Linked DNA regions of Arabidopsis thaliana. The protein of the gene in region 1 interacts with the protein of each later gene in a pairwise test. Each region holds a gene or a part of one and is shown in the gene's direction. Other genes may lie near its edges.

Region 1 (9,492 bases):
CACACCACCCAAGATTGACAAGTTGCGATTTCAAAACCTTCCCAAGCTGACAAAGACCAAGCGGAAGCTTTTGCATTCGTGCTTCACGAGCGAACACTTGGTAGAGTCACGATCCACGGGAGAAACTTTCTTAGTTAAGTGGTACAGGAGAACCCCCGCCAAGCCCATCAAGGGTATGGCGACGATGATAACAAAAGCTCTTCATGTGTTCAAGCTAGACAAAAAAGGAAACGCTGTCTACACTCAAGACATCGGAGATCTCTGCATTTTCCTCTCAAAGTCTGAACCTTTCTGTGTTCCTGCTAGCTCCTTTCCTCAGGGCCTGCACTCTCTCCAGGCCATGCGCTCTAACCACGTCTACATATTGGACGTCGACGAATTCGGACTTGTCGAGCTGGTTGATTCTTCCATAGCTAGCGTGAATTGCACATTGAAGGTCCCTTTTTATATTCCACCTCAAAATATAAACTAGTATTAAGTTTGGAATTGAGGTCTGTCTTTTCTCTTAAACCTTTCAAATATCAAATCTACTTTTATATATCTTGTAAGTGAAGGAAATTATATTTTAGCAAACATATCTAAGATATTCACATCACTTATAGCACTGTCTCTTTGCTGCTATATCATAGCTTAGTTCTTTCTCTTATAGCACTGTCTCTAGCTGCTAGACTCATTGGCTTTAGTTTTTGCTGAAATAAACTCGTATTTTTAGAATAAATGATTTGTCGAGACCACAACATCACGACCAAGCAATGTGACAATAGGGTCTTGTGGTGCATTTAGGTTCAGGGCATATGTTCTTATCCCCAGCTGCTATATACATTCTGAAATACATTGATATCAACACAATTGGCCACTAACAATAGGGTCTTCGCAGATAAACAAGAAACGCAAAAGAGTAGAGATAGTAAGAACAAGACCTTAGAACTAGAGAATAGTGAGCCTAAGGACATGTCAATTAGTCTTCACTTACATGGCAGATGATGACTTGAGCAGGCTGATTCGAGGTTCTTCTCTTTTTTTATTGCAAACTCTAAATTGTAGAAATTAAAAACACAAAACGGGGCCAGAGTCTTTGTTAATGGAGTGTTTTTAGTGAATGTTTAGTTCGGTTTAGCTCTAAACCAAGTTATTACAACTCTCATAATGAAATTAGGGACGGATACAATGATCATCCAGAAAAAGGAAAATTGCAAAAACAGGAAAGTAAATCAAAACCAGGCTGGAGATTCTCTTTTCTTTAATCCTTCTCAGACACAGCTTAGAAACAGAACATAATTAACCGTTTCTCTCGTTAAAACCTCTAATTTAATAATAAAATCTTTAATTAATATAATGACAACGCACCAACCAACTAGTGATTAGAGTTTGAGACAGAGAGGATTTGTGTATTATGGCCCCACATTCTCTGTGCCATGTTTTACTATTTAACCAACTCTTTAGCTTCCTCTGCTCTTCCATCAATCGGTCTTTTTTCCTTGATTTTTCTGGTGAGATTCTACAAAACCAAAAGATTCCTTCGCCGGAATAATCACCGGAGATAAAGATAAAGGAATGGCGTCCCTGAAATTTCCGTTGGAGATTCTCGCCGTCTTCGTCATCATCTCCGTGATTCTTTTGCCGATTGCTCAATCTCATTCTTCTTCGCCAGCTCCCGCACCCACCAGCGATGGTATTAATCTTAGGATAAATCTTTCATTAGAGCCAATTTTGTTTTTAAAACCCTATCTTGGAGGACAAGAAATTGATATTGATTTGTTTTTTTTTTGGCAGGAACATCGATAGATCAGGGGATAGCGTATGTTCTAATGATGGTGGCTTTGGCGTTGACTTATTTCATTCATTGACGTGATGGATCCGATCTATTTGTTCTTCCTCCATAATGGTTTGTCTTTCGTAGTGTTGTGTTACAATTCTTTTCTTTTTGGGTTTGTGACGTGAGATTTGTAGAAAATCATATTAGGTTTTGGTCCTCATGCTTTGTTCTGTTTTTGTTGGTTGCATTATTCGTGTACCTTTTTTTCTTTCTTGTGTAATGGAAAAGCGTAATTATAATAATTATTATTCAAGGAAAAAAAAAGCACCGTTATTTTTGCTATCATTTGGAGGGCATTCTCTGGCTGCTAGTTGCTGAGACCATGTCATGATTCATGCCGCATTTCACCTTGAGATGAATGTCTTCCTTTGTAAAATCAATTTGAGGCGATTCCAAAATCGCAACTGCCATCGACAATCTCCTCTTTGACGAGGCCTGTCTTTGAATCACTCTCTCAAACAAGGTTTAAAATAAGGGTTCAAGATTTAACCTCTTTTGGAGGAACCACCGAAATTTCACCACTAGATGTATGGGCTATAGTGATGATGAACTTAGAAGTTTAAAACATCTTGAATAAATAAACTTAAAGTATATTCACCCACTTGTTTAGAGTCTTTAGTGATTATTTATACAACAAAAACCAAGACCGTTATATGATATATGATTTTAAATAAATAGAAAGTGATCAAAGAGACGATGGATCGTGATTAAGTTTATAAGCTGCAGCGACGGATTCAGCAACACCTCCAGGAATAATATTATTGAAAGGAGAATGATTCAGCTCAGCCCGAATCACTGCTTCTGCGTCTTCACTTGTCACTTCTCTGTCCCTCGTTACTTTCACATCAATCTCCGCGATAACGTCGCCGAGATTTGTCTTCTCATTATCTTTTCCTATTTTTTGGTTACGAGCAACCGCCTTACTTGCTACAGCAGTTACACCACCTTCACTTTCTATATCGCCTCCGATAGCCCTTGTTTCCACCTCTTTTATGGCAGCCACGTCGGTGGTTTCAACTGGTTTGTGGCCGACATTCATGGATGCTGCTTTAAGAGCCTCCGTTAATGTCGTTGACCTCCCGATAAGTGCTTCCGCTGCGGTGGAAATCTCTTCTGTTGGGCCTACAAACTTTTTCAAAACGTTTCACATCATTCGGTATTATATTGTGGTCACAATTGTTCAAAACCAGTATGTGTTTTTACGTTTTTCGTTATTTCATATTTGCGTTTTACGTTGCGTTAACATGAGAAAGTGAGACTACAAAATAAAAATTCAACATAAATTTTTTTTGAAAGAAGTATATCAAACAAAATATTAATTTCCTTTGTGTTTTCAACACCATGCAGTGTACGGATTTAACTTTACACAGCCATAATAATTAACTACAAAGTTGGGCCAAGTTAATATTCACAATCTTTCTTCGTCCAAGCCAACTCTTGATGATACTCATTTTGAATGTAAAATAATCCACTTTAAGCGTGTACTAGAAGAAACATCCTTTCAAAATGATCAAATCTACCGCCACTAGTCTACCACTACCACACGCTTGTTAGTTGGTTATTATGCATTAAATATAAACGTAGTACAAAGAAAGAACCCAAAATCTATACCTGTCCACCGGGGCTAGACTGAGAGACGCTAAAGTGCTCCTCCACGGAGATGTTGGTGACACTAGCACTATCTTTTGATGAACCCATCGTTTTAGACTTCTTCTTTCTTTGCTTCCATGTTCTTTTTCTTTCCTTAGTTTAAATACGAAAACGGAATGTGGCGATAATAACGGTTCCGTACAGTTTCATTTGACACGTAGGCTTTTAACAGTGTAACGTGTCCATATTTAGCTGCTTGTGAGACAGTGACCCTTAAATGCATCGGCGAGACTATGTATTAAACATTTAGAGTAGCGTGGTGAGTTTAAGAAATATTGGAAGAAAGGACCTTTCATAACCCTTTTATGCAAATTTCCATATACTATTCTTTTTTTTTAAGGTATGTTGATCTCTTTTAACGACTTGCATGTTTTTGACGTTTGTCAAAACTCAAAAGTAATAAAATGGAGTTCCATGGTTGGATTTTGGGATTTAAATTTGTTCTTTAATGATTATTTATGCAACAAAATCTTATAGGCTTCCAATGCCTATATAAGGTGGATCAAAAACTGATCTCGGTAAAAAAGACAGTACAAAACTTCGGTTCGAAACTTCCTACTCTAAAAGAAAACAAAACAAAAAATACAAAAATCACGACCGTTATTATATACTTATTGTGATAAATATGTAAATTGCAATTGATATCAAAGAGATACATTGCATGGATTGCAATTAAGTTTATAAGCTGCAGTGACGGATTCAGCAACACCTCCAGGAATAATATTATTGAAAGGAGAATGATTCAGCTCAGCCCGAATCACTGCTTCTGCGTCTTCACTTGTCACTTCTCTATCTCTCGTTACTTTCACATCAATCTCCGCGATAACGTCGCCGAGATTTGTCTTCTCATTATCTTCTCCTATTTTTTGGTTACGAGCAACCGCTTTACTTGCTACAGCGGTTACACCACCATCGCTTTCTATATCACCTCCTATAGCCCTAGCTTCCACCTCTTTTATGGCAGCCAAGTCGGTGGTTTCTACCGGTTTACGGCCGACATTTATCGCCGCTGCTTTGAGTGCTTCTGTCAATGTCGTTGACCTCCCGACTAGCGCTTCAGCCGCCGTGGAAATTTGTTCTGTTGTGCCTGCATACTGTTTCAAAAGGCCGAACCCGAACATCATACGATATCAACATGGTCACGTAAAATATTTCAAGTTAAAAGTTTTTTTACATTTTATCACCGCGGTAGAAGTTATACAATTCCTACTATGAGCTAGCAATCGGTAAAACGGTAAATTAAAGGGAACACCAACAAAACGGTACAAAATCTTTACCAATCTATGTTTTACCGCACTTGCTTACTTCTTTTAACTGTTCTGTTATCGTAAACGATTTTTCTTTTAATCGTGGCTAATTTTTCATTTTAACCTATTACCTGACCACAAGTAGTAGATTGGGAGAGGCTAAAGTGCTCCTCTACAGAGATATTGTGAAACTAGCACCATCTTTTGATGAACCCATCGTTTTAGAGTTCTTTGATCTTCTTTCTCTGCTTTGCATTATCTAATACACTTTCTGTTTTGTGTAAATTGATAAATAAGTAAACGGAAGTGCCGACAAAAAAAAAGAAAAAAAAAAAAAAAAACGGAAGATGACAATAGTAACGGTTCCGTAACAATTTACATTTGACACGTCGGCTTTCAACAGTCCACGTGTACAATACTTGTCTACGTATGCCGTTATGCGACCGTGACTCTTCGATGCATAAGAGAGACCAATTACTTTTTGGGCCTCAGAAGCTTCGTAGAGCCCAAACATTCTACCAAGCTTTGAGACACGTGCATAGTCCGTGCCAGCTGTTTCTTGTTTTAGTATTTCCGGGTCGGGTTTCACCCGTATCCGGAAATCAAATTCATCGGAGCGCTTAATTTGAGTCCACAATTAAAGTGAGAATTTTCCTGAAGAAGAAGAACTTTTGCTTTTTTTCTGGGTTTGCTTTTTTGTTGTGTCAATGAAATGGGAGAAATGGAGATCGAAGAAATCGAAGCTGTTCTTGAGAAAATCTGGGATCTACATGACAAGCTTAGCGATGAGATTCACTTGATTTCGAAGTCTCACTTTCTCAAATCGGTTAAACCTTCAAATAGATCGGAGAAGAGAAAGAATCCTCACGGAAATTCCGGCGAAGATAAGCGACCTGGTTATGTTTTCATCAAAGGATTCGCCGTCGATGATAACGACTCCACGATTCAGGAGGCGAAGAGTCTTAACGCAATTCGAACCGCTCTTGAGAACCTTGAAGACCAGCTCGAGTTTTTCCATGTAAGTCTCGTGTTTCTCCGATTGATTTTGTGGTTTTCGCTTCCTTGATATGAAGCGAAATTGGGAGATTAGCTTGTTATCTCCTTTGTTTTGTGCTAATTTTTGAAGATTGTTAAGCAAATCCTTCTACTAGATGACTATTCAAGTCCGAAATAGGTTGTATCTGCTTCTGAAGAAAGTGACTCATGATTAAGCCGATTTGAGGCAATTTAGGGTAAAAATTGATTGAGGTGTGTTTAGTTAGGGTTTAGATTTACGAATTAGGAATTTAGGTTCTGAACTGGATAGTAATTATCAGATTCTTACGAAAATTCTGAGCAACAATTTTAGACAGAAAATCATCATACAATGTAGTTCTGAGAGCATTGTTTATTGCAAACTCTTTGATCATGGAATTAAAGCAGGGAGAGGAATCTAGATTCAGGTGTTGTATGTGCATGAAGAATGATATGGTCTTATTTAAGATCAGAAGAAGTAGAGATAGATAAGCAGAATCCATTTCGCAATACATTATAGACGCATGTGTTTTATCATTGCCATAGATAATAGACCAACGAAGAAGAATATACAAGCTATTTTGCATATACACTCATTGGTTCTGGTCAGTCGCATATGTCTCGTTTACTATCTGAACCTGAAAGACAAGATGTAAAACTTCTTTCTCTTTGCTCTGCAGACTATACATACACAGCAGCGAACAGAGAAAGATGTTGCGATTGCTCGGCTTGAACAGAGCAGGATATTACTAGCAATGAGATTAGCTGAACACCACGGCAAGAACTATGGAGTCCTAGAGGAAGCTCTTGCATTTGTTGGGAGCATTAAATCCAACTCGCATTACGTTTCACCTGATCACCTCTACGATTCCTCTCGAAACCCAGACGGAGCAAACTCTATTCCAGATGGAATAGAGTCAAACTTTGTAATCAACGCCTTTGCCTCGACTTTCGGGTTTGCCAAGAGAGCACTTGGATTCAACCATGTGAAAGGCGTACTTGGAAACGCTGCTATATTTGCCATAAGCGTGGTCGCTATGCTACATCTTCACCAAGTGGCTACTAGTGAACATCATCTGCAGAAGAAAGAAGACAGATTCTACAGAAGCCAACAAAGGAAAACATACGGAAGAGATAAGTCTTCAGCTGACAGAAGTTTGGATCACTTGGACGTAATGATGGCTCGTGGTTAAGACCAGAGATCGAACTTGTCTACACGTGAGAAAACTAAAGAAGAGAAGAGATAATTGTTGCTCTCATAGGTTTCGATATTATCAGCAAAAGGATAAGAATTTGGAGGCAAAGTGTTGGAATTTTCTGAGCTCGTCTGATGCAAATATTGTTCCTTTCTTCTAATTTTGATTTTCAAACACTGTGGTTAATGTTTTGTTTGTTTTGTTTGGTTTTGTTGATTTCAAATGTGGTTAGGCTTTCTTGTAAATCACAAGATCTCTCGGCTATTCTTTAGTAGCAACTGGCAAATTCAGATTGATGAATGTATTGGGCCACTATCAGCCCATTCGCACCCCAGAACTATCCAGCCTTAGTTTGCTCAATCTTAGGCCCTTTTACTTTTGATGACAAATCACTCTAAACCGTAATAATTTGGTCCGGAAACAATATACAAAATACAGTACGAATACTGAAGAGGTTTATCGTCTAGTTTTTGTTATTCAAATTGAAGAAAGATAACGTTTTCTCGAAATTTTATGAGTTATATGACTTGTATACGTAGTTTAATATCAACTTTTTTTTATTCTTTCTTTGTTTCTACAAAGCCTGAATATCTATAAAGTATAAGGGTGTCAAAGCGGGAGAGTTTGTCCGGTGTATGTGAATTGTGATGTGAACAAAGCAAAGACAAGTGGGAGGACAAGTTATCAAGATGATAAAGGGGAAACTACAATGAGTCCAAATTGGTAGAATGAAGGAAACATGAATGTGAATATTACAAAATACTTTTCCTTAAGATCTGTTTTGTCTCTCTTTTTCTTTTGCTTTTGTACACATAGCTTTTTCTCTACACACTCTTAACGTTATAAATGGCTTCTTCTTTTTCTTCTATCTTTGTGTGCTGTCTTCTTTATTTTTATTGTGTAAACATATGTTTTTCAATGTGATTAGACATATATAAATACTATAACTTACGGATTGTGTTAGCATTTTGTAGGACCCGGTTCGCATTTTGGGAAATGTCAGCCCGCCGACCCCGGTTTTCCTCCGTAAATAGGTCAACCCAATGTTTTTTCTCTGTCTACAATGGCTAAGACCGCAAACAAAATACTTTTTCACATTTCGATTATGATTGATTGATAATGCTACATAATATTACAAAATACATGATAAAATAAATCTATAGGTCATAACTTCGAAATCAATACAAATGAGGAAACTCAACTTACGATTTTAAAAGAACTTTTGTCACTTCACAAATATGGTTTCATATGAGAATTTGCTAGTAGCTTTTCTTTCTCTCCTTGTTTTACGATAGGAAACTGAAAACTATTTTTTTCTAGTGAAACTATTTTTAGTCAAGCAAGAAATAGTAATGATAACCAAAGTCATACTTGTAAACCCACAACGTAATCATATATTGTGTTTTATCTTTTTTAATCCTTCTGTTTTAACTGCTTCAAGAAGATAAGCAAATGATCGCTCGTGGTAGTTTAATAAATGGGGATAATGGAAAATATTATAATTAGATATTCATTATCGAATGTTGATTATAGATTAAAAAGAAAAGGTTGGACCAAATAATAATTATGAAATAGCGAAGGTGCTCCATAATGATGCGACAAAAAGCTGATGTTAACGGGTAGAAAGTGTTTTGCCACCTTCTAAATAATTATTAACAGATGGGTCACATAATTTATTATTTCATATCTTTCTTCTTTTATAAGATTTTTAGTATGAATAGCAACAGTACGTGAATCTTTACGCAGACCACCAACTAGTATTTGATTCATCTTAGCGGTTAAATGTCATCAGCCTATAGCTTCATTCTCTAATTATCCAATAAATTATGAATGCTAATATTTTCATTAAATTAATTCATTTTCATTTCGCAGTTTTTACAATCCTACTTACCACAACGTTTCACTTATACAACGTTTTAATTTATTCTCAAGTCCGCGATTTTCATTTTCGGTCGAGATTTGATCCACAACTTGATTTTTTCTTCCAAAATTTCAAGTAGAGATAAGATCATAGTGGTTTCAAATTTGTACTATTACGTAAACATTTAAAGTAACAATCTCTATGAATCATCAGATGCCTTTTAAGCATTGGACAGCTATAATTTGATCCCATACTCCGACCAACAAATTTAAACCATTAAAGGTTTTTTTTGGTCTTCATTTGACGAAAAAACAAAAAGCTTCACGCCACGTCTCGCTATAATAACGAACCTAAATACTGACGTGGATGGTTAAATAGGACACGTGGTTCTGCACAGATGGGCTTTTTAAATTACTAAGAATCATGTGATTGTCCACTATAAAATGCAGGGCCCATAACCACATCACGTGACCTTGTACTCTCGTTGTCTCTCAACATTCTTCTTTCTTCTCTTCTTTTTTTCTTTCTTACAAGAATTAAGAAAAAACTTAGTTTAATTAAATATCTAAATTTTTACGTAAACATTCTAAATAATTTAAAATTCGATAATAATGTTAGTTCAAAGGTTAAGTTTTAAATTCCAAATTTTAATTTCAAACTCTAAAAATTATCTCTATAATGATATCGTGATTTTTGAAGAGTTTATTA
Region 2 (12,824 bases), on another chromosome or scaffold:
AGATGCTGTTGTGTCTTACAGCCCCTTCCGTTGAAGCGTCTCACTGAGGGACTCACGGGAAGGAAAACATCAGAGGATAATGAGATATACAAGCTCTTCACTAATGTTATGAACCTAGTCCCTCCTAAGGTATGCCTATTGACTTTAATAACTTCCGTTCATGGTTTTGGATAACCGATGAGAATTGCATTGATGTGTTTTTTCATATTTATGTGACATTGCATATAGACTTAGACTGGTTTCGAATCTAATAATGTCTATTGAGAAAATATTTCTGCTAATTCCTCTTACGTTACCGACATTAGGAGAAAGTAGGAAAGCTATTTGAAAACTTCTGACTTTGAAATATGAGAAAATATATGCAAACTTCCTTCAGAGTCTCCTTTTGGAAAATGTTAAATTCATCTGCAATCAATATCTGGGATGCAAATGCCTACATAGCTCATGCTGCTATCGTCTTCTTGAAAATTATTTGTTCAGCACTTCTTGCTTATCAATGTTGTACCTGTATTCTTCTTTTCTAATTTTGTGCAGGAAGAAGAGAACCTCATAGTATTCAACAAACAACTTGGAGAAGATAGAAGAATTGTGATGTCACGGAGCAATTTAAATGAGCTACTTAAGGTACATAGACATAGACTGAATTCCGTTAGAGAAATGGAGTCAATTTGCGATGTTATCATAACCATTGTAACACTTTGAGAACTTTTAACCCAGGCGCTTGAGGAAAACGAGTTATTGTGCACTGACTTGTACCAAGTGAACACCGATGGCGTGATATTGACAAAGCAAAGTGTGTAACTCCTATGAAATACCTGGTTTATTATGTATGTTATTACTCGTTATGTCTTAGCATTGTTAAGTATGTTAAAGTTGCTGATTGAGGATATCAAGCATGCCTTAACTGTATGTTATGTATCTCATTTGTTGCTAGTATTACATGAAATAGGATGCAGTTCCATGTGATTGACCTTGATATCGGTCATCTCCTATATGATTAATCATTTAATTTTAGTTCTTGCTTTCTGTGATGAAACCCCAATTACTTATATTGTGACCAAGAGAGCTCAGAAACTTGTTTATTTTGTTTCTGCAGGAGCGGAGAAAGTTATCGGTTGGGCCAGAAACCACTATTTATCTTCTTGTCCTAGCCCATCGATTAAAGAGGGCCGCCTGATTCTCCCCCGTGAAAGGTAATGGCATGGTTGTTGATTGATCTTTGGGGTCTATGATTTATCTTTGATTTTCTTATATCTTACTATTGTCTTCCTCTTTTGAAGCATTGAGATTTCAGTTAAAAGGTTAAAGGCACAAGAAGATATTTCTCGAAAGCCCACACAAAACTTGAAGGTTTAGTTTCTTCCCCCCTCTGGTAGTCTGGCAATTGGCTGCTGAAAACTCTGAGTAATAATTATGTTAAAAAGAGATTTTTGTTTTTGCAGAATATTGCGAAGGATGAGTTTGAAACCAATTTTGTCTCAGCCGTGGTTGCTCCTGGAGAAATTGGGGTAAAGTTTGACGACATTGGTGCTCTTGAACATGTGAAAAAGACACTAAATGAGTTAGTTATTCTTCCCATGAGAAGGCCAGAGCTTTTCACCCGTGGAAATCTCTTGCGGGTATTACATTCTGTTATATACATGTCATTATGTTCTTGACTATGGACTTGGAATTTTCTCGTCTGGGTTTTCTTGAATGCGTGTGTCTTTGTTTTTTCCAGCCATGTAAAGGCATATTGCTTTTTGGTCCTCCGGGTACGGGTAAAACGCTGCTTGCCAAGGCGCTTGCAACAGAAGCTGGGGCAAACTTCATTAGCATAACTGGCTCAACGCTTACCTCAAAGGTACATGGAACCTTAAAACTATGTTGTTTGCACTGTCACGTTGATATTCCACTTTGTAAACATCTTCATATAAATAAGGAGAATATCTAATGACATAAGAAAAACTTTTCCACCCCGGTCATCGACTTATTATTGTCAATGCCGATTGTAACTTAGAGTAAATCTCTTTCCAACTTTACCTCTGATTGGTTCTGATTTAAGTCAATTTCGTCCATTGTTTGGCACAGTGGTTTGGAGATGCAGAGAAGCTCACGAAGGCTTTGTTCTCTTTTGCAAGCAAACTAGCCCCCGTCATTATATTTGTTGATGAGGTGAGAAATTGTTTAGCTTTATATCACTTTTCAATTTCGGTTATTGCTTTTTATGAGGAATACTTTTGTGATGCGTAAAATGTGTTACTCAAGGACTAACTGTAATTTATTTTGTTGTCGTATAGGTTGACAGTTTGTTGGGTGCTCGTGGTGGTGCTTTTGAGCACGAGGCAACACGAAGAATGAGAAATGAGTTTATGGCAGCTTGGGATGGACTCAGATCAAAAGATAGCCAAAGGATTCTCATTCTCGGTGCCACCAACCGACCTTTTGATCTTGATGACGCTGTCATTCGTAGGCTACCAAGACGGTAATTTAAGCTTTCAAGTAATTTCTCCTTTGGAATATTTGTATCTTTTCGATAATTGTATTGAGGCTTGTGTTTATAGGATATATGTGGATTTACCAGATGCGGAAAACCGGTTGAAGATATTGAAGATATTTCTGACACCAGAAAATCTTGAAACTGGTTTCGAGTTTGATAAACTTGCAAAGGAAACCGAAGGATATTCAGGAAGCGATCTAAAGGTTTGGTCATTCGGGGTTTCATTTACAAGTTCGAGTATGATTCAACACAGTAGTTCTGATTCCTTTTCTTTTCTTACATTGCAGAATCTATGCATAGCAGCTGCATACAGACCTGTTCAAGAATTGTTACAAGAAGAAAACAAGGTAAGGACATGCATAAACCCACACAGTTGATTTCTGTTGTTACGAAAAATAATTTTTGTACTCACTCCATGCTTTTGAAACGTCGAATTATCAGGACTCGGTAACAAATGCGTCCCCTGATCTACGACCACTGAGTTTGGACGACTTCATTCAATCCAAAGCTAAGGTATTGATCAATCTCTTAAAAAACATCATCATCATCTCTATTCATGTTTTTTCCCCTGGTGTTTGCATTATCGAAATTGCGTCATTGTAATGTAATTTGCAGGTAAGTCCGTCAGTGGCATACGACGCGACGACAATGAACGAATTGAGAAAATGGAACGAGCAATACGGTGAAGGAGGGACCCGAACTAAGTCTCCTTTCGGCTTCTAAGCCACAGTTTTGTTACATTCATCAATGTCTCTCTTTAACAATAGAACTCGTTGATTTGTTCCATGTCGTAACAATAAAAGTCACTATTTCAATTTTAATCATAGTTACACAAGAGAGACCTTTAAGAAATGAAAAAATAGTAAATTAACAAGTCGTCATTTGCTCAAAATATTTCTGGTTTCTCATCCAATAATCACAATTCTGTACTACATAGTTATCACAAATCCTTTGAGATAATATTTCTGCATATACTATTGGTCAAGACAAAGCAAATCCTTTGTATTTGCCGACCAAAAAAAAAAAATCCTTAAACTCTCTCCTTACGCGCTCTTTTATTTAAATTTAGCGGAGAACTATTACAACGTTGACTCAACGCGCCATGGATGCGCGTGAGATTAAAACACAAAAAATATTTCTTTTGACAAAAATTGAAATTAGCCGTATCTGCTAATTCCATGGCGGAAAAAGGAACGGCGACGAAAACTAAAGAGTAGAAGAAATAAGAGACACTCTCTTACTCTTACTCTTCCTCTTGCTCATTTTCGTAAGAGACGATGGCGGAAGTATCAGCAAAATCGGTGACGGTTGAGGAAATGGCGGAAGAGGACGACGCTGCGATTGAGGAGCGGTGGAGTCTTTACGAAGCTTACAACGAGTTACACGCTTTGGCGCAGGAATTGGAGACGCCGTTCGAAGCACCGGCGGTTCTTGTGGTGGGACAGCAGACCGACGGTAAAAGTGCGCTTGTGGAAGCTCTTATGGGGTTTCAATTTAACCATGTCGGCGGCGGAACCAAGACTCGTCGGCCGATTACTCTCCATATGAAGTACGATCCTCAGTGTCAATTCCCGCTTTGTCATCTCGGATCTGATGATGATCCTTCCGTTTCTCTTCCCAAATCTCTCTCACAAATTCAGGTGTTTTGTTATTATTATTACTTGTGCTTCTTCAATTGCTTGTTTCTGCGTATAAATTCTGGGAAGATTTTGACGAATGTTGAGAAACACAAGTACTTAGGTTTATTGTAGAGAAGCGAAATGCTCATGTTAACGAAATTTGTTATATGATTTGGAGTTAGGCATATATTGAGGCTGAGAACATGAGGCTGGAGCAAGAGCCATGTAGCCCATTCTCTGCAAAGGAGATTATTGTGAAAGTCCAGTATAAGTATTGTCCAAACCTTACCATCATTGATACACCTGGACTTATTGCTCCTGCACCAGGACTGAAAAACCGAGCTCTTCAGGTTGTTTTTTCTTATGGCTTCCAGCCAATTCCGTGGCTGATTTCATGTTTTGGTTTTGCTTTATTTGAGAGTGGGTTACTTGTTCTTTTTCTTAGGTTCAAGCACGGGCTGTGGAAGCTCTAGTCCGAGCAAAGATGCAACACAAAGAGTTCATCATTTTATGCCTCGAAGATAGCAGTGACTGGAGCATTGCAACCACTCGAAGGATAGTGATGCAAGTACGTTGCTTGACGTAACTCCATTGCGTCTAACCTTGTCTTTATTTTTGTTAAAGTTTGTTTCTCGTTCATGTAGGTTGATCCTGAGCTTTCTAGGACAATTGTTGTTTCTACAAAGCTTGACACTAAAATCCCTCAATTCTCATGTTCATCTGACGTGGAAGTCTTTCTCTCACCTCCTGCAAGCGCACTTGACAGCTCCTTATTGGGCGATTCTCCTTTTTTCACGTCTGTGCCTTCTGGAAGAGTTGGCTATGGACAGGATTCAGTGTATAAGTCTAATGACGAGTTCAAACAGGTCTCTGCTCTGCTGTCTGATTCCTTAAACAAGTTAAACAGGTCTTTTTCTAAACTATGTGTGGTTTTTATTACAGGCTGTGTCACTTAGAGAAATGGAAGACATTGCATCTTTAGAGAAGAAGTTGGGCCGTTTACTGACAAAACAGGAAAAGAGTAGGATTGGCATCAGTAAACTGAGGTTGTTTCTGGAAGAACTACTCTGGAAAAGGTATAACTGTTGTTTTAACTCTGATTTTTCCAGCCTCTGTTTCTATTGTAGTTTACTTTTCGCTGTAGTCTTGATGCCCTTCTCTTTCCAGGTACAAAGAGAGTGTTCCATTGATCATTCCACTGTTAGGAAAGGAGTACCGCAGTACAGTCAGAAAGCTGGATACCGTGAGCAAGGAACTTAGGTCGCAATTTGTTTTGTCTGAAAATGTCTACTTGATTTTAGGCAGTTTAATTGTTAGCTACTGATTTATAGAAAATATAACTCATTGGAGGTTGAATAATTCCTTTCAATGCAGCTCTTTGGATGAAGCAAAACTCAAAGAGAGAGGCAGGACTTTCCATGATCTCTTCTTAACCAAGGTAACTGTAGAGAGCATTTCGTTTTTTTAGATTTCTATTTACACCTTCCCATACCTTTTCATTTTTGCCTGGACTCGTGGATTAATAGTTTTTGTATAATTACAACAAGTTCATTTGTGTAAACTTCTCTTTTTTTTTGGTTTATTAACTACTGACACATAAAAACAAATTTGTTTATTGATTACTGACACATATAAAATTATGCTACAGTAAATGATATCTAGGACTTGCTACAAATTCAGAATGGCTGTAAACTTTTTGTGTTGGATGCCCTTAAGACTTTAAAATTGCTGCGTCATATTTTCTGATTGACGTACGAAGTACCTTTGTTAGTATTGATCAGTGCTGTGTTTTCTCACCTGTTTTGTTTATATTTTTCTTGATCAGTTATCGCTGTTATTGAAGGGAACAGTTGTGGCCCCTCCAGATAAATTTGGTAATGTTACTGCTCTGTTCTCTGCTAGTCAACTTCTTTGGCATAAACTTTTCTTGTTTCTGGGTGTTGTTAAATTGGACTTTTGCAAAATCAGTTTAGTTAAATGCATATTGTTCAATTCGACTGGGTCACCAGACTGCGATGATTACACATGGAATGATGTATGCTAATCAATCAATCATTGGTCATGATACTTTGGTTACTGGCAGAAGCACATTTTATAACAGCATTCTCTTTATGTTGGGTTCTTTGATTGTTAATAATTTCTCATGGTGTTTTTCAGGTGAGACACTGCAAGATGAAAGGACACAAGGAGGAGCATTTGTTGGTACTGATGGTCTCCAGTTTTCACATAAGCTAATACCGGTAAGTCTTTCCCTGAAGCAGAATATTGTTGGACTTTATAGAGCAAGCTGGGCATGGTCTTCAAATCCAGTTGTCTTGTTCTTGTACATGGATTATAATATGATGGAAGATAAATTTGACCGCATGAAACATATGTGCCAAAGAATAATGTATTGGAAACAAATAAAAGAGATACTTCGTTGGACCTTCAAGAATTATGAGAGACCATAACCAGATTATCTTTCATTTTACAGAATGCAGGGATGCGTCTCTATGGGGGTGCACAATATCACCGTGCCATGGCTGAGTTTCGTTTTCTAGTTGGTGCTATCAAATGTCCCCCAATAACGAGGGAGGAAATTGTAAATGCATGTGGAGTTGAGGATATTCATGATGGAACAAACTATTCCAGGTATCATAGGATTGACTGACATGCAACACACTTCTCAATTTATTGTCTTTGCATCCCAGACCCCTTTCAGTATCTAATCTGAGCTGCAACGTTTGTCATGTTTTCTATGGCCTCTTATTCTCTTTCTCTTATTTGCTGTTGTAGAACAGCTTGTGTTATAGCAGTTGCGAAGGCTCGTGAGACGTTTGAACCTTTCCTTCATCAGGTGACATAGATATAGCTACTTTTTTCTTTTTCTTTCGTGGAGGATGGAAAGCAATTTTACTAATTAGTTAAGGTGTACTGTACGTAAAAAAAAAAATGAAATATAACGTTATATATTGAAATCATACTACCATTCAGTTTTGAGATTTGCTGGAACTTATTTGTGCATAAGAGTTATCGAGTAAACATGTTCTGCTTACAGAAACTATGTTTGGGAATACTTTCATCTGAAATTTTGTTATTCACATGTTTCTCTTTCCATACAGAAAGTTTTTTCCAGTTCTCATTTTCGTTTGTTTTGCGTTGATATAGTTAGGGGCGAGGCTTCTACACATTCTCAAGAGATTGCTTCCAATTTCTGTATATCTTCTTCAGGTAGGTACTGTTTTCTTTGGTTTGACGGTATCATACTCATGATCCCTTTCCAGCAAATTTTTTGATGTATGTTCTAAATTTGAATAGAAAGAAGGTGAATATTTAAGTGGGCATGAGGTGTTTCTCAAGCGGGTTGCTTCAGCATTCAACAGTTTTGTGGAGTCCACAGAAAAATCATGTCGTGACAAGTAATTCTATTTCCAATTCCTGTTCTTACCATGTCGGTGCCTCCTACCTGTGTTCTAGTGAGCTTTAGTGATTGATCACCCTTTGGATTTTATATTGTTTGCAGATGTATGGAGGATTTAGCAAGTACAACTCGCTATGTTACATGGTCTCTTCACAACAAGGTCATTGCTACAGCCCTATAGCTCTGTTTCAATCCAATTGAGTTGTGTACATACCATCAAGTATCCGTTTCTGATTGAGTAGTTTTCGTTTCTCAATGTTATGTAGAACCGAGCTGGTCTACGTCAATTCTTGGACTCATTTGGTGGAACAGAGCATAATACGACATCAGGTAATGCCATAGGATTTAGTCTTCCCCAAGATGCATTAGGTGGCACAACAGACACCAAGTCAAGATCAGATGTAAAGCTAAGCCATCTCGCCTCAAACATCGATTCAGGTTCCAGTATTCAGACAACAGAAATGCGGTTGGCTGATCTTCTAGATAGCACACTTTGGAACCGCAAGCTTGCTCCTTCCTCTGAGAGAATTGTGTACGCATTGGTCCAACAGATATTCCAGGGCATACGAGAGTACTTTCTCGCCTCTGCTGAGTTAAAGGTTTGCTCCTACTTCAGTTTTTACTCAGATTCTTCTTGCTTTTAAAATGACTTTTCTTTTAAAAAGTTTGTATCTGTGTTTTCTTTTGTTCTGCAGTTCAACTGTTTTCTTCTAATGCCCATCGTTGATAAGTTACCTGCTCTTCTCCGGGAAGAGTTGGAAAACGCATTTGAAGACGACCTCGATAGTATCTTCGACATCACGAATCTCCGGCAATCACTTGATCAAAAGAAACGGAGCACAGAGATCGAGCTCAGAAGGGTAAACCAAACTGACTTCTATGATCAATGTCTCTTTTTTCTATTTGCCATTGGAAGTATGCAGGAGAACTAACATTATGTTATGTGTCATGTTTTGGACAGATAAAGAGGATAAAAGAGAAATTCAGAGTGATGAATGAGAAGCTAAACTCTCATGAATTTGCTCAAAATCTAAAGGCTCCTTCGGTGCAGCATTGAGTGACTCAAGTTCAATATTGCTTAATTATATTAGGTTAAGAAACAATCGAAGAGTGAGGGAACATCTTATGTGTACTTTGTATGTCCAAAAACATACTAAAGAACGTTGTCGTTTCAAGTGATTAAGGTTTCGCTTTTTGGTCCAATGTTTGCAAATTTCAGTTTTGTAGAAACGACAGTCGTATCATTTATTTCTAAATAAATTATAATCAGTAAATCTAAAAGGAAAAAAAAATGTCGAATAAAAAATACCATCTAGAAAATTATTTTAAAAACTATATGGATGTGAAAAAGAAAAAAAAAATGTAACATGTGGATAGAGGATAGCTATTCTTGGAACTTAGAAATATGCTATTTGAATCGAAAGTATTTATTTAGTTAAATGGTTCTTTGATTATATTTCTATGTTCTTTTATTAGATTATTTACAGCTTGAAGTTTTTTTTATGTTTTTAATTTTTATCCATCACTAATACACATATGACCTACCCTCCTACCCATTAACCTCCACCTAACTACGAGCGCATTCACATTTTAAACACTCTCTTTCTTTCAACCATTTCCTCAAAAATATAATAAAGAAGTAAAAAATAAGCTTAACGTTTTCTCCACGTGACAAGAACCAAATGTTTCTCCACGTGATGATTATCTCGTGATCTAACTAGAGTTTCCGATTAATCTTAATAGTAAATTAACCGACCAATTTTTAGTCATATAACTTGAATATTAAGAAGGAAACTACAACTTATTTTTGAATAAACGTAAAACTGATCACTGAGTAAAAAAAAAATCATTTTCTTTTTACTTCTACCAAGTTATTTTTGATTAATAAATACGTACGTACACTATAATCGTAATATAAAAAAAATAAAAATAAATAAATAGATGATATATACCTACTAAAGACTAAAGAGTTAAGATACGTTGAAGTACTACAAGCTAATTTCTTTTTTAAGAAATAGAACAAAGAGATATTATTTATTTTCGTTTAAGTTTATTATTATAATAAAAAACAATTTGTTGTAAAAATAGAAAAAAAAAAAAAAAAAAAATTGTTGTAAACGTATATATAAAGAGAAGTATTCCAAAGCTTTATAGACAACTCAAGTTTCTTGCAATTACCTACTTACAACAAAGCAACTCGACTCGAACAAACACATCCATGGCTCCTTCTGCGCAACCTCTTCCTGTGAGGTAAAATATTTCTGTATCGTCGAACAAATTATATTGTTTAAATCTGATAGTATGAAATATGATTTGGCGATCTTTTTTTTGTTTTTTTTTATTTATCAAAATTTACAGTGTTTCGGATGAAAAATATGCGAATGTCAAGTGGGAAGAGTTGGCATTCAAGTTTGTTCGTACGGATTATATGTATGTTGCGAAGTGCAATCATGGAGAGAGTTTTCAAGAGGGGAAGATTCTTCCTTTTGCTGATTTGCAACTTAACCCTTGCGCTGCTGTTCTTCAGTATGGCCAGGTTTGTTATATATGACTTAAAAGAATGAATATAAATCTAGATCGTTATTAGATGAAACAGAAAAAACTATTAACACATGAATATATAGCTTTCTCACTGATAATAAAATGATTGAGCTAATTATCATAAATATAATTACATAGTATACTATTGAGTTAGCAACTATATTGTATGCATATTTGAGCTATAAACTATTGAAAAAATGAAATAGTTGTACATATATGTATTAATGTATATCAACGAACCGAATAGTATGAAAGTATTGATATTCCTATCAAATCATTGTATGTGATCTAGTTTCGCAACAATTCTTAAGTAATGGTTTGATACTAATTTACTGGAATATTTATGGTGGTTTGGGAATGATTAGGGTTTATATGAAGGACTGAAAGCTTACAGGACAGAAGATGGTCGGATTCTGCTATTCCGACCAGACCAAAACGGTCTCCGCCTTCAAGCCGGAGCTGACAGACTCTATATGCCTTATCCTTCGGTCGATCAATTCGTCTCCGCCATCAAACAAGTTGCTCTTGCCAACAAGAAATGGGTATATTATATATATTGATTGTTGTATGAATTCGTCAAGATAATAAAACCTTATAAAATGAAAGATATAATCAATGGGGTTTTCTTATATATGTACGCAGATTCCTCCTCCGGGGAAAGGAACATTGTATATTAGGCCTATCTTGTTTGGGAGTGGTCCGATTCTTGGTTCATTTCCCATTCCTGAGACCACCTTCACAGCTTTTGCCTGTCCTGTTGGACGTTATCATAAGGTGACTAGTGTTCTTGTCGTTTTTCTTTTATTGTTCACATATGAAAATATAAGGGATTCCAAGTACGTAATATAACATGCATGCATCAATTACTTGTTGAGAGTTGGTTTTAAATTAAAGGGTTATGTTGTTTAACGAAAACCATTATGTTAAATTTGATTATTTTCGGATTTTTGTTTGGAATAGGATAACTCTGGTTTGAATCTGAAAATCGAAGATCAGTTTCGTCGAGCTTTTCCTAGTGGAACTGGTGGTGTGAAGAGCATCACAAACTATTGTCCTGTAAGTTTTAAAAATATACATCAAATTTTCATAATTACATGACTAAATGATTGTAATGGAAAAATTTCTCGTTGAAGGTTTGGATACCATTGGCAGAGGCGAAAAAACAAGGTTTCTCTGATATTTTGTTTTTGGATGCTGCAACTGGCAAAAACATTGAAGAACTTTTCGCAGCTAATGTTTTTATGCTCAAGGTAAAAAATAAATATACAAATTTATTGAAAATGCATGTTGAGGTTTATACATGTGTTATAGAATATTAAGATGGTTGTGATGATATTTTTGTATATAGGGCAATGTTGTATCGACACCAACAATTGCAGGAACTATTTTGCCCGGAGTCACTCGAAACTGCGTAATGGAATTGTGTCGTGATTTCGGCTACCAGGTTGGAATATTTCAATATCATACATATATCAAGTTGATCTTGTAATTTGCGAAAAAAATCTCCTTACTAATAATATTCATCATGCATGTATAATAATTTCCTTTTGGTCTTTCACGTTGTATAAAGGTCGAGGAACGTACGATTCCTCTAGTGGACTTTCTCGATGCGGACGAAGCTTTCTGTACTGGCACTGCTTCCATTGTGACTAGTATTGCATCCGTAACCTTTAAAGACAAAAAGTAATACTTTCTTCCCTTTGTTAATCCAAAATGTCTATTTTTAGATTTTTTCATAAGTTAGGGTGACTGAAATGATTGAATGTATAAACTCAATACAGGACCGGATTCAAAACAGGGGAAGAAACATTGGCTGCGAAGCTATACGAGACGTTAAGTGATATCCAGACGGGTCGGGTCGAGGATACCAAGGGATGGACGGTGGAGATTGACCGCCAGGGCTGAAAGTTGAAACTGTAACTTGATGCTAAATATGTGTGTGTGTGTATACAAAACTTATGTAAGAAACATCTGAAGATGTCTCTGATCTTTGTGATTGTGATGATCATGCATGTCCTATCGTTGCGATGTATTTTATAAATGTTCGTCTGTAAGTTATTTAATAACTATGGCTTTTTGCTTTATCTTTTTAATTATTTTTAAAGAGTATTATCATAGAAAATCTTATGGCTTTTCAATTTACACTAACCCTTTACAACTACTACTTTCTTTTTTGTCCATGTAGATGAAGATGATACAAAACTCTTGAATGGTCTTAGAATCTTTCTCTGAAGAATTTTTTTAAGTATAAAACCAATCAAGAATTTATTATTCTTGAGCCTTAGCTCGATTAATAACCAAGTGCAATCTATGAGTTATACAACTTTAGTAATCTCATCATTAGCACTCTCACCGTAACTTGCTTCTCCACTGTTCTTGTTATAGGAAGGCTCTATTTTTTCTAGCATACTAACTACTGATTTCATAAACGGTCTAGCCTGAGGAGACTTGTCCGTGCATAATAAAGCAATGGTCAAAACTTTAAGAGCATCCTCCTTGTATTCATCTTCTATGCTCGTATCGATTAATTTCATCATCATTTCTCTGTTCGTCTCCTTGCTCACGCTCCAAACCCACATGACTATGTCATTGTTCTCGCCGAAATCTGTCTCTAACGGCTTCTTCCCTGTCACCAACTCCATTAACACCACCCCGAAGCTGTACACGTCGCTCTTCTCGTTCACTTTGGTAGTATATGCATATTCTGTGAACAACAAAGAAATGATATGCAATTTACAGGTGTTATAAAACTGTGGATTGAAATGGAAGAATTTAAAGTTTGATA
Region 3 (9,504 bases), on another chromosome or scaffold:
TAAGATGCTGATGACAAAAAAAAAAAAAAAAAAAAAAAAACTGTTTAGATACTCAAATAAAAAAAGTGATTTCATATAAAACGGTGCCGTTTGGTCCGTAAATAACGATGTCCTCTTTCTCTTCTCCTCCGGTTGATTCAGTCCTTTTAACACTCCTCTTTTGATCTCGCCGGCAAATATCATCCCACATCCTTCATGTCTCAAAATCTCCGTCATCGTTCTCTTCCTTCGTTATTACTCTCGTACTTTATCACCTCCGTCGTTCTATAATACTCTCTTCCGTCAATCATATCATTTGTCGACAATTTCATTCTGATCAGTTTAAAAATTGATCCATGGATGATAATTTAAGCGGCGAGGAAGAAGATTACTATTACTCCTCCGATCAGGAATCTCTCAACGGGATTGATAATGATGAATCCGTTTCGATACCTGTTTCTTCCCGATCAAATACTGTCAAGGTTTTTGAGCTAAATTTCTCTCGATTCTTTTTCGGATTTTGTTAATTTTGTAACGAATTCGTGAAATTGAATCACTTAGTTGAAATGTTGATTTGAAAAATCAGTTCTGTGATCTCTGTTGTTCTCTAGTTAAAATTAGGGTTTTGTGTTATACTGTGAAATTTCATCTCTGTAATGCTGTGAAGAGGATTAGAAGAGTAGTGGCATTGGTTCAATTAGAATAAAAGCGTTTGATGTTTGCATGAATGTGAATCTGCATTTTGTAGGTTATTACGAAGGAATCACTTTTGGCTGCACAGGTTAGTGAAAGAGCAATGACTCTTCTTTTGATCCATATATACTGTGGAGTTTCAATTTTGAAGGCTAAACTGTTTTTGAATCAATGTAGAGGGAGGATTTGCGGAGAGTGATGGAATTGTTATCGGTTAAGGAGCACCATGCTCGGACTCTTCTTATACATTACCGATGGGATGTGGAGAAGTTGTTTGCTGTTCTTGTTGAGAAAGGGAAAGATAGCTTGTTTTCTGGTGCTGGTGTTACACTTCTTGAAAACCAAAGTTGTGATTCTTCCGTTTCTGGTTCTTCTTCGATGATGAGTTGTGATATCTGCGTAGAGGATGTACCGGGTTATCAGCTGACAAGGATGGACTGTGGCCATAGCTTTTGCAATAACTGTGAGTCTCATCCTTTTCTTAATGATATCCTGAAATGAAGTTGTTTAGTTAATATGGTTTTGTTGTTTTAGGTTGGACTGGGCATTTTACTGTAAAGATAAATGAAGGTCAGAGCAAAAGGATTATATGCATGGCTCATAAGTGTAATGCTATTTGTGATGAAGATGTTGTCAGGGCTCTAGTTAGTAAAAGCCAACCAGATTTAGCTGAGAAGTTTGATCGTTTTCTTCTTGAGTCGTATATCGAAGATAACAAAATGGTGAAGTGGTGTCCGAGTACTCCTCATTGTGGGAATGCCATACGTGTTGAGGATGACGAGCTCTGTGAGGTTGAATGCTCTTGTGGTTTGCAGTTCTGTTTCAGTTGTTCATCTCAAGCTCACTCCCCTTGCTCTTGTGTGATGTGGGAACTATGGAGAAAGAAGTGCTTTGATGAGTCCGAGACTGTTAATTGGATAACTGTTCACACAAAGCCGTGTCCCAAATGTCACAAGCCTGTTGAAAAGAATGGTGGATGCAATCTCGTGACTTGTCTTTGTCGACAATCTTTTTGGTATGAATTTTAGCCTTGTTTCTCCTCTGCTTTCTAGTGAACATTATATCAGGTGGTGATGAACTTTTTGTTTGGTTATTACTTTATACAGTTGGTTGTGTGGTGAAGCTACTGGAAGGGACCACACTTGGGCTAGAATCTCGGGTCATAGTTGTGGTCGGTTCCAAGAAGATAAAGAGAAACAAATGGAGAGAGCGAAAAGGGATCTCAAGCGGTATATGCATTATCATAACCGATACAAAGCACATATCGACTCCTCCAAGCTAGAGGCTAAGCTTAGTAATAATATTAGTAAAAAGGTGTCTATTTCAGAAAAGAGGGAGTTACAACTTAAAGACTTCAGCTGGGCTACCAATGGACTCCATCGGTTATTTAGATCAAGACGAGTTCTTTCATATTCATACCCTTTCGCATTTTACATGTTTGGAGATGAGCTGTTTAAAGATGAGATGAGCTCTGAGGAAAGAGAAATAAAACAAAATCTGTTTGAGGATCAGCAGCAGCAGCTTGAGGCTAATGTTGAGAAACTTTCTAAGTTCTTGGAGGAACCTTTTGATCAATTTGCTGATGATAAGGTCATGCAGATAAGGATTCAAGTCATCAATTTGTCAGTTGCGGTCGATACACTCTGCGAAAATATGTTAGTTAATAATCTAAAAGACATCAGAGAGTGCTAACAACCTATATTGAAACTGACATGTCAAGCTTTTTGCAGGTATGAATGCATTGAGAATGACTTGTTGGGTTCTCTGCAACTTGGCATCCACAACATTACTCCATACAGATCAAACGGCATAGAACGAGCATCTGATTTTTATAGTTCCCAGAATTCCAAGGAAGCTGTTGGTCAGTCTTCGGATTGTGGTACAAGCAGTAAATCTTGAAACTTCACATCATTAGGTTGGAGACTTACCGGTAATCTTACAAAGCAAACTCTTTAATACAGGATGGACGTCCAGGCTCGATCAAGCTTTGGAGTCAGGGAAGTCGGAAGACACAAGTTGCTCTTCCGGGAAGCGTGCTAGAATAGACGAAAGTTACAGAAACAGCCAAACCACCTTACTAGATTTAAACTTGCCAGCGGAAGCCATTGAGCGGAAATGAACACTTATCCTTCTTCACCTCCCAATAACACCCTTTTTGTCCAAATAAAGTGTGTTACCCGGATATTTATAGCTCTAAACCCAATCCCCTCTGCTTAATTTGTCAGTGACCTTACCTAACCCTCTTCAGTTCTGAAAGAAGGGGTCAAGCATCGTTACTTACAAAATTTCAATCAGTTTCGGAGTTTACATAGGATAATGGTTATAGACTTATAGTGGATCATATTTGAAGCTGCCTATGAACTCAGGCTTCTCTCAGTGCCTCGAGGTGTAAATTTTTAACTAAACGTAGGTGGATCGTACCTAATTCATGGATATGAATCTCTTGTACATATGCGTTATATATTTGAGATGGTATGAGGTTTTTGTTGTGACGGTGAGAGAGTGTCCCGCAATCTGAAAAATTGGCTAACCTTAGTTTTTCACTTTTTCTGGTTGTAATTTTTTTATTGAATGCATCCCCTAAAAAATTTTGTTTGGTGAGATACCTATTGAATCTCTCACTAATATAATTTTATTATTTTTGGTTCACTTTTGTGTCTCTCATCAATATAATGTATTTTTAGTGTTATTTAATAATTTTAATGTAATTTAACTTGAATACTTCTTTTAATGTCTTATTTTAAATTAAAATATTTCTAACTAATATTTTTAAACCATCTCAAACTACATTTTAAAAATATTCATTTTCAGACATATTCATTTTAAACATATACATTTCTCATAGAGAGCTCTGAGAAGCAAGTGATCAAGTGGAAGCAACTCCCACATGGGTGGGTTAAGTGTAACTCAGATGGAGTTTGGAATGCAGAATGCAACAAGTGTGGCATTTGCTGGGTGCTTAGAAACTCCGACAAGAACGTGCTTTGGATGGGTGCAAGGGCTATACCAAAGGCTCAATCCGCCTTGGTTACTGAGGCTGAAGCGTTGCGTTGGGCGGTGTTGTCACTCTCTCGACTCAACTACCGAAAGGTAATCTTTGAATCTGATTCCCAACAATTGGTGTCTATTCTTGTTGATAACGATGATATGCCTACTCTGGACCCTATTATACAAGACATCAAGTTCTTGCTTCAGCATTTTGAGGAAACAAAGTTTGTGTTCATGCATCGTGGAGGCAATGGAGTGGCAGATAGGATAGCAAAGGAATCTCTTTCTCTTGAGAATTATGATCCTAAGTTGTATTCTATAGTGCCAAATTGGGTAAAATCGTTTGTGGAATTAGACAAGTTGTAAAACTCTGTTGTTTAATGATAATTATTGTTGTTGAGCCAAAAAAGGAAAAAACATATTCATTTTCAATTACTTTGTTATCTTTTATAAAAGGAAAAAAGATGGCTAACTACACGAAATATAGAGAATTACGCTGTCATATATACCAAGTATAATATTGTATCTTGAGCTACACGAAGTACATGTATTGCATGACCATATTTATGAACTATATGACGTCATCTGGTTAATATTATGAACATACAATTCCGGTAAACCGATCAGTTGACTTCGGCGTTGACAAACAAAAAAATGCTAACCATAGTTCAAAGAAAAAGAATTGTTACAAAAACGATTCTACGATAATTTTTATAATTTATAATAAATAATAAATCTAGACGGTAAAAAATAATAACTTAAAATTTACGTTTTTTCTGACATAGAAGTCTATATTTTAGTACACAGATTCTTTTATTTTATTTATGTAGAATGATATGTCAGATTTGTCATCTTTGTTAGAGTCCAAAATTGGCCTCTTCCAAATTTCTTATGGTTCTTTTTCATTTTTTCCCCAAATTTAAATAAATTCAATAAAAATTTGTTGATTTTTTGTGGCCGTTGATTAAAACCGGGAAAGCAGCAGAAACAAATCTGAAAATCTGAGTTAAGCCAACCACAAAACAAATCCACTCCAAACACTCCAAATTACTTGTCTCTCTTCTCTTCCCCACCACCACTACCTTACAAAAACCCTAACCCTAATTTCTCCACCCCCAAATTCTTTTCCTCAATCTCTGCGATGGAAGACGAAGAAGGCATCGGGTTAATTTTAGCCAGAGCCACCGAGCTCAGACTCAAGATCAGCGATTGTATCGATAACTCCAGTACCACCGTCAGCGACAACGGCGATGGAAACGAGGATCTTTCTCCCGGAGAAGGAAGAAAAAGCGAGATTATTGGGAATCAAGACAAGGATTTTGACTCAATCAGCTCTGAGGATGTAGATGAAGCAGAAGCTGAACGGCTTTTGCGTATTCGTGATGCTCTTGAAGCTCTTGAGTCTCAGCTTGCTTCTTTACAGGTTTGAACCAAACCCTAAAAATTTCCTCTGCTTCTCATCAAGTTTCTGGCTTTTAGTGTAGTATTGGACATTGAAAGTGTTAGGTTCTGGTTTTAACTGAAATTGAGTCTGAATTTGCTTCAAGTCTGGTCTATAATGTCTGAATTGCTTCTTTACAGGTTTGAACCAAACCCTAAAAAATTCCTCTGCTTCTCATCAAGTTTCTGGCTTTTAGTGTAGTATTGAACATTGAAAGTGTTAGGTTCTGGTTTTAACTGAAACTGAGTCTGAATTTTGCTTCAAGTCTGGTCTATAATGTCTGAATTGCTTCAAGTCTTGGTGGTGGTTAATGTGGGGATGGTTTTTGGTTTGTGGTGAACAGAATCTAAGGCAAAGACAACAATATGAGAAGCAACTGGCTCTCTCTGAGATTGATTACAGTAGGAAAATGTTGCTTGAGAAGCTTAAGGAGTACAAAGGGAAAGATTTTGAAGTGTTACGTGAGACTACGACTTTTGCTGGTGAAAGAGTTGATTATGAGAATGATCTTTTACTTCCTCCTTATCCTGTCCATCCTCCTCTCTCCCTTGGTTTAGATAATAATAATGGTTACCTATCTCACTTACCTTCGAAGAAGAAATCGGATGCGAATGGGTTCGGCTCAGGACATGTGAGGAACGAGGCAGAGGCGAAAAGTCCCAACGGAGGATCTGGAGGTTCGAGTCATGGGGTTATTCGCTTCTTAGGCTCTGTCGCAAAGATCGTGCTTCCAATCATCGGTGTTATCTCTCTATTGTCTGCATCAGGATATGGTCCAGAGATGAGGAAAAGAGGCGCTTCCTTGAACCTTTTTGGACTTCTCCCGCACCGAGCTACCAGAGGGAAGAGAACACCTAACCAATGTCCACCAGGGAAAGTTCTTGTGATTGAAGATGGAGAAGCACGGTGCCTTGTTAAGGAAAGAGTCGAAATACCATTTGACTCTGTTGTAGCGAAACGCGATGTAACTTACGGATACGGTTGAGTTTGAAAGAAATTAAACACCCTCCTCTGTAATGTTCATTGCCTGACATTCAGTGTGTAAAGTTTCAACCTTTTCTTACCTCTTAGATATGAAAGCCACATGGTGCTACATAACTCTCACAAGTTTTGTTCATAGTTGTGCAAATAAATTGGATGAGGGAGAGATTCATTTGAGTAGTATAATCTCTGTTCTGCCAATTTGATCAATAGATTCAGTGTATCCCAACTTATACCACTTGGTGTGGTTGGCCAATACATAAATAAGTAAATTAATGAGATAAAGAGATCTAAAAGACTTTTCTTTAGTGTTTTGACTAATAATTGGTCAAGCCTACCATTACAAACTATGTTCCATTACCAGTACAGAGCACATGGTTTCACTTTTTAACCAAGCAACTTTATCTTAAACTTGCTTATCAAGAACTGTCTCTTCGGTAACACAAAAGGGTCTTTTATCAAAACCTATATATAGGATACTTTTCATAATTGGAGTAAGATCTACAAAACAGAGAGTTGTATACTTTAAATCATTTAGAGGTTGTGAAATATTATGGAGAGTGAAGGAAAGATTGTGTTCACAGAAGAGCAAGAGGCTCTTGTAGTGAAGTCTTGGAGTGTCATGAAGAAAAACTCAGCTGAATTAGGTCTCAAACTCTTCATCAAGTAAGTAATGATCCCATTGATCTCTCTCTATTTTCTTTTTATGTATATAGTCTGAGATATGAACTACTATTTTGAACTGTAGGATCTTTGAGATTGCACCAACAACGAAGAAGATGTTCTCTTTCTTGAGAGACTCACCAATTCCTGCTGAGCAAAATCCAAAGCTCAAGCCTCACGCAATGTCTGTTTTTGTCATGGTAATAATCAATATCAAATAACATGATTTTGCTTATATATTCGAATCAAAGATTGTTGAGTTTTGGGGTTTATTATCAGTGTTGTGAATCAGCAGTACAACTGAGGAAAACAGGGAAAGTTACGGTGAGGGAGACTACTTTGAAGAGACTTGGAGCCAGCCATTCTAAATACGGTGTCGTTGACGAACACTTTGAGGTTAGTAGTTATTTGTCATATCTCAAAATGTTCTTTATCATACAAATATGTTAACTTGATTTTTTTTGGTTGATGTAAAAATGATTTATAACTGCAGGTGGCCAAGTATGCATTGTTGGAGACGATAAAGGAGGCAGTGCCGGAGATGTGGTCACCGGAGATGAAGGTGGCTTGGGGTCAGGCTTATGATCACCTTGTTGCTGCCATTAAAGCTGAAATGAATCTTTCCAACTAAAAAATCATATACTATTATATAGTTGTAAACTTGTAATAAATATTTCATTTTGAATTGTTCTCATGACTGTTGTTCTATTTGGTTTGGTTTGATTTAGTGACAATAATATATATATAGTGTGCATTCCAAAATCCTAATCATTTTGAATACAAGTTTCTTACTAATTGTTTTGCCCAAAAAAAAAATGTTTCTTACAAATTGTATTAAGATTATGATATTTTTGATAGACTTTAAAATAAATATAATTACTTCCAACAGTTTTATTCTCACTAAGTCTTGGCCTTTTACAACCTGTAAATCTTAAGAAATGATGAGCAAAATAGAGAAAAACAGCTACCTAAAAAAGGTAAGATACAAAAACTTTTTACCAGGCTCATGATTTTATCTTAGAACACTTCAATATATAATTGAAAAAATGTCAAAAAAATCATAAACTTTTAAATTTGGTACGTTTAAATCCCCAACTTCCAAAATACCACTAAAATACCAAACTTGTTATTGATTTTAGAATTAATATATAACTTTTGTTGATTTTGTCGTTTTAAGCACGTCGTTAAGTCAATTGACAGAAAAATTAACAGAGTGAAATATTCAGTTAGAAATATATAATTGGTAACTCGTACGAAAATGTTTAAATGTTCAAATTAAATCACTTAAAATAGACTTTACTAAGCTGTCTTACGTAATTAATTATTATTATTTTTCAACATTACACGTTTTTGGTTTATGGACAAGAAACTTAAAAGGATATCAAACTCTAATGTATCAACTTTCACATGCTCCTAATTAAGAGTTTATAACACGATGGTTAAACACTCAAACTGAAATACTTTGAAGGGGAATCATCCTCGAGAAATAAGGGAGCCTACAACTCCCGCGATTAGGGTCGTTGGATCCCCGAGTACGGCGGAAATGACAAACTGCACGGCTATACCGGCGATCTCGCAGCATTTTTGAACTTTACCTTTGCGGCTGCTACGGTGGTGATGCTCAAGTGTGTTCTTTAAGACCAGGCTCTTGTGTTCAATGCTTTTACCATGTTGTCCTGTGTACAGCTCTCGCCAATTCTCCACCAACATCTCTCTCACACACGCGACATGGAGATTGTACTTTTTGCAAGATGACCTGTATTTTTGTGACAAAAAAAACAAACATATTTAGCTGATTTAAAACCTGATTTTTATTATTAACTGGCTCAAAATTATGTTGCAATGCATTAATCAAGGAATTTGACTCTAAAATTTCTATTTTGGTATATAATTTTGATAACTAAGAACTAACGTTATCTATTTAAAAACTTCGGCGATGACACATATATAATGTGCTAAGTCAGTGTATAAACTTGTAAAGTTCTAACTTAGAGTGCACGCTATGTAACATGTCTACCAATTACCAAGCACAAGCATTTCTTTGAGAAAAGAGAAAGTTTGTGTTTGAATGCCATTGCTTTAATTTTTCCTTTTTCTCTAACATATATTCGGTTTAAAGCCGAAATTAATGTTCAAGAATCAATAAATAAACGTAATCCAAAATTTTATCATATTGCTTTAAAATATTCTTTAGAGATGTTGATTTGGAATATATGCTGATGTTGACTTAAAACACCAATGAAAACAGCGAACTAAAATAAATAAAAACAAAAACAACTAAAGCAATGCTCATTTTTTTTTCCAATTACCATTCTATATATTTGATTTGAGTTGTATCTTAGTTATTTTCTAACATATAACATACTATATTTCTAATATAGCGAACTATATATGTTTTCAAATAAAACATGCTAATAATTATAAAAAAAAGACGAAACAATTTTTATTTTTCTTACATGCTAATCTTTGGTATCATAATAATGAAAGAACAAGAAGAGAATCAAGAAGAGAGACCTGTAACTCCAGCTACGGCCTTTTTTTCCACATCGATGACAAGACGAACTAACTTTACGATAAAGAAAGAGATTGGTCTCTCCATCGTCCAAAACCATAGGAAGCATAGCGCAACACGGGTGAAGATCAAACCCACAAGCCTTGCAATGGTACAAAAACCCCGATACATCCTTCTCGCACGCATTGCAGTACCGTCTTTCGTTCCCTGGTGGCCGCGCCACAAACTGAAACGTACACTTTTTGTA

Evidence for each region.
Region 2: the proteins of PDV1 (region 1) and ARC5 interact in a two-hybrid assay, tested with the Arabidopsis thaliana proteins (one study listed by BioGRID).
Region 3: the proteins of PDV1 (region 1) and PDV2 interact in a two-hybrid assay, tested with the Arabidopsis thaliana proteins (one study listed by BioGRID).

What each region holds. Positions count from the first base shown.
Region 1 is NC_003076.8:21,602,161-21,611,652, forward strand, and holds PDV1 (plastid division1), read left to right. Parts: upstream 1-5,249; 5' UTR 5,250-5,425; coding exon 5,426-5,731; intron 5,732-6,407; coding exon 6,408-6,920; 3' UTR 6,921-7,268; downstream 7,269-9,492. Other genes in the region: AT5G53240 (hypothetical protein (DUF295)), read left to right, coding at 1-472; AGP22 (arabinogalactan protein 22), read left to right, coding at 1,555-1,672, 1,774-1,847; AT5G53260 (Seed maturation protein), read right to left, coding at 2,502-2,945, 3,428-3,514; AT5G53270 (Seed maturation protein), read right to left, coding at 4,111-4,590. UniProt on the Arabidopsis thaliana protein: Component of the plastid division machinery.
Region 2 is NC_003074.8:6,846,322-6,859,145, reverse strand, and holds ARC5 (P-loop containing nucleoside triphosphate hydrolases superfamily protein), read left to right. Parts: upstream 1-3,555; 5' UTR 3,556-3,756; coding exon 3,757-4,119; intron 4,120-4,280; coding exon 4,281-4,448; intron 4,449-4,543; coding exon 4,544-4,666; intron 4,667-4,742; coding exon 4,743-4,964; intron 4,965-5,040; coding exon 5,041-5,174; intron 5,175-5,265; coding exon 5,266-5,358; coding exon of another isoform or gene 5,359-5,373; intron 5,374-5,472; coding exon 5,473-5,536; intron 5,537-5,923; coding exon 5,924-5,972; coding exon of another isoform or gene 5,973-6,065; intron 6,066-6,255; coding exon 6,256-6,338; intron 6,339-6,571; coding exon 6,572-6,729; intron 6,730-6,873; coding exon 6,874-6,934; intron 6,935-7,245; coding exon 7,246-7,308; intron 7,309-7,395; coding exon 7,396-7,496; intron 7,497-7,600; coding exon 7,601-7,658; intron 7,659-7,764; coding exon 7,765-8,097; intron 8,098-8,193; coding exon 8,194-8,358; intron 8,359-8,459; coding exon 8,460-8,555; 3' UTR 8,556-8,788; downstream 8,789-12,824. Other genes in the region: AT3G19740 (P-loop containing nucleoside triphosphate hydrolases superfamily protein), read left to right, coding at 22-129, 535-624, 718-793, 1,097-1,193, 1,281-1,350, 1,443-1,619, 1,721-1,843, 2,071-2,154 and 5 more; BCAT4 (branched-chain aminotransferase4), read left to right, coding at 9,717-9,748, 9,857-10,034, 10,405-10,581, 10,682-10,813, 11,000-11,095, 11,173-11,289, 11,388-11,483, 11,610-11,722 and 1 more; IKU2 (Leucine-rich repeat protein kinase family protein), read right to left, coding at 12,355-12,743. UniProt on the Arabidopsis thaliana protein: Mechanochemical GTPase component of both plastid and peroxisome division machinery. Required for the last steps of plastid division specifically in mesophyll-cell, when the narrow isthmus breaks, facilitating the separation of the daughter plastids.
Region 3 is NC_003071.7:6,980,654-6,990,157, reverse strand, and holds PDV2 (plastid division2), read left to right. Parts: upstream 1-4,537; 5' UTR 4,538-4,801; coding exon 4,802-5,083; exon of another isoform or gene 5,084-5,166; intron 5,167-5,241; exon of another isoform or gene 5,242-5,411; coding exon of another isoform or gene 5,412-5,444; coding exon 5,445-6,086; 3' UTR 6,087-6,312; downstream 6,313-9,504. Other genes in the region: ARI2 (RING/U-box superfamily protein), read left to right, coding at 336-461, 728-760, 850-1,135, 1,207-1,687, 1,779-2,327, 2,403-2,551, 2,634-2,791; HB1 (hemoglobin 1), read left to right, coding at 6,636-6,748, 6,831-6,945, 7,025-7,141, 7,239-7,376; AT2G16050 (Cysteine/Histidine-rich C1 domain family protein), read right to left, coding at 8,219-8,501, 9,260-9,504. UniProt on the Arabidopsis thaliana protein: Component of the plastid division machinery consisting in a binary fission accomplished by the simultaneous constriction of the FtsZ ring on the stromal side of the inner envelope membrane, and the ARC5/DRP5B ring on the cytosolic side of the outer envelope membrane.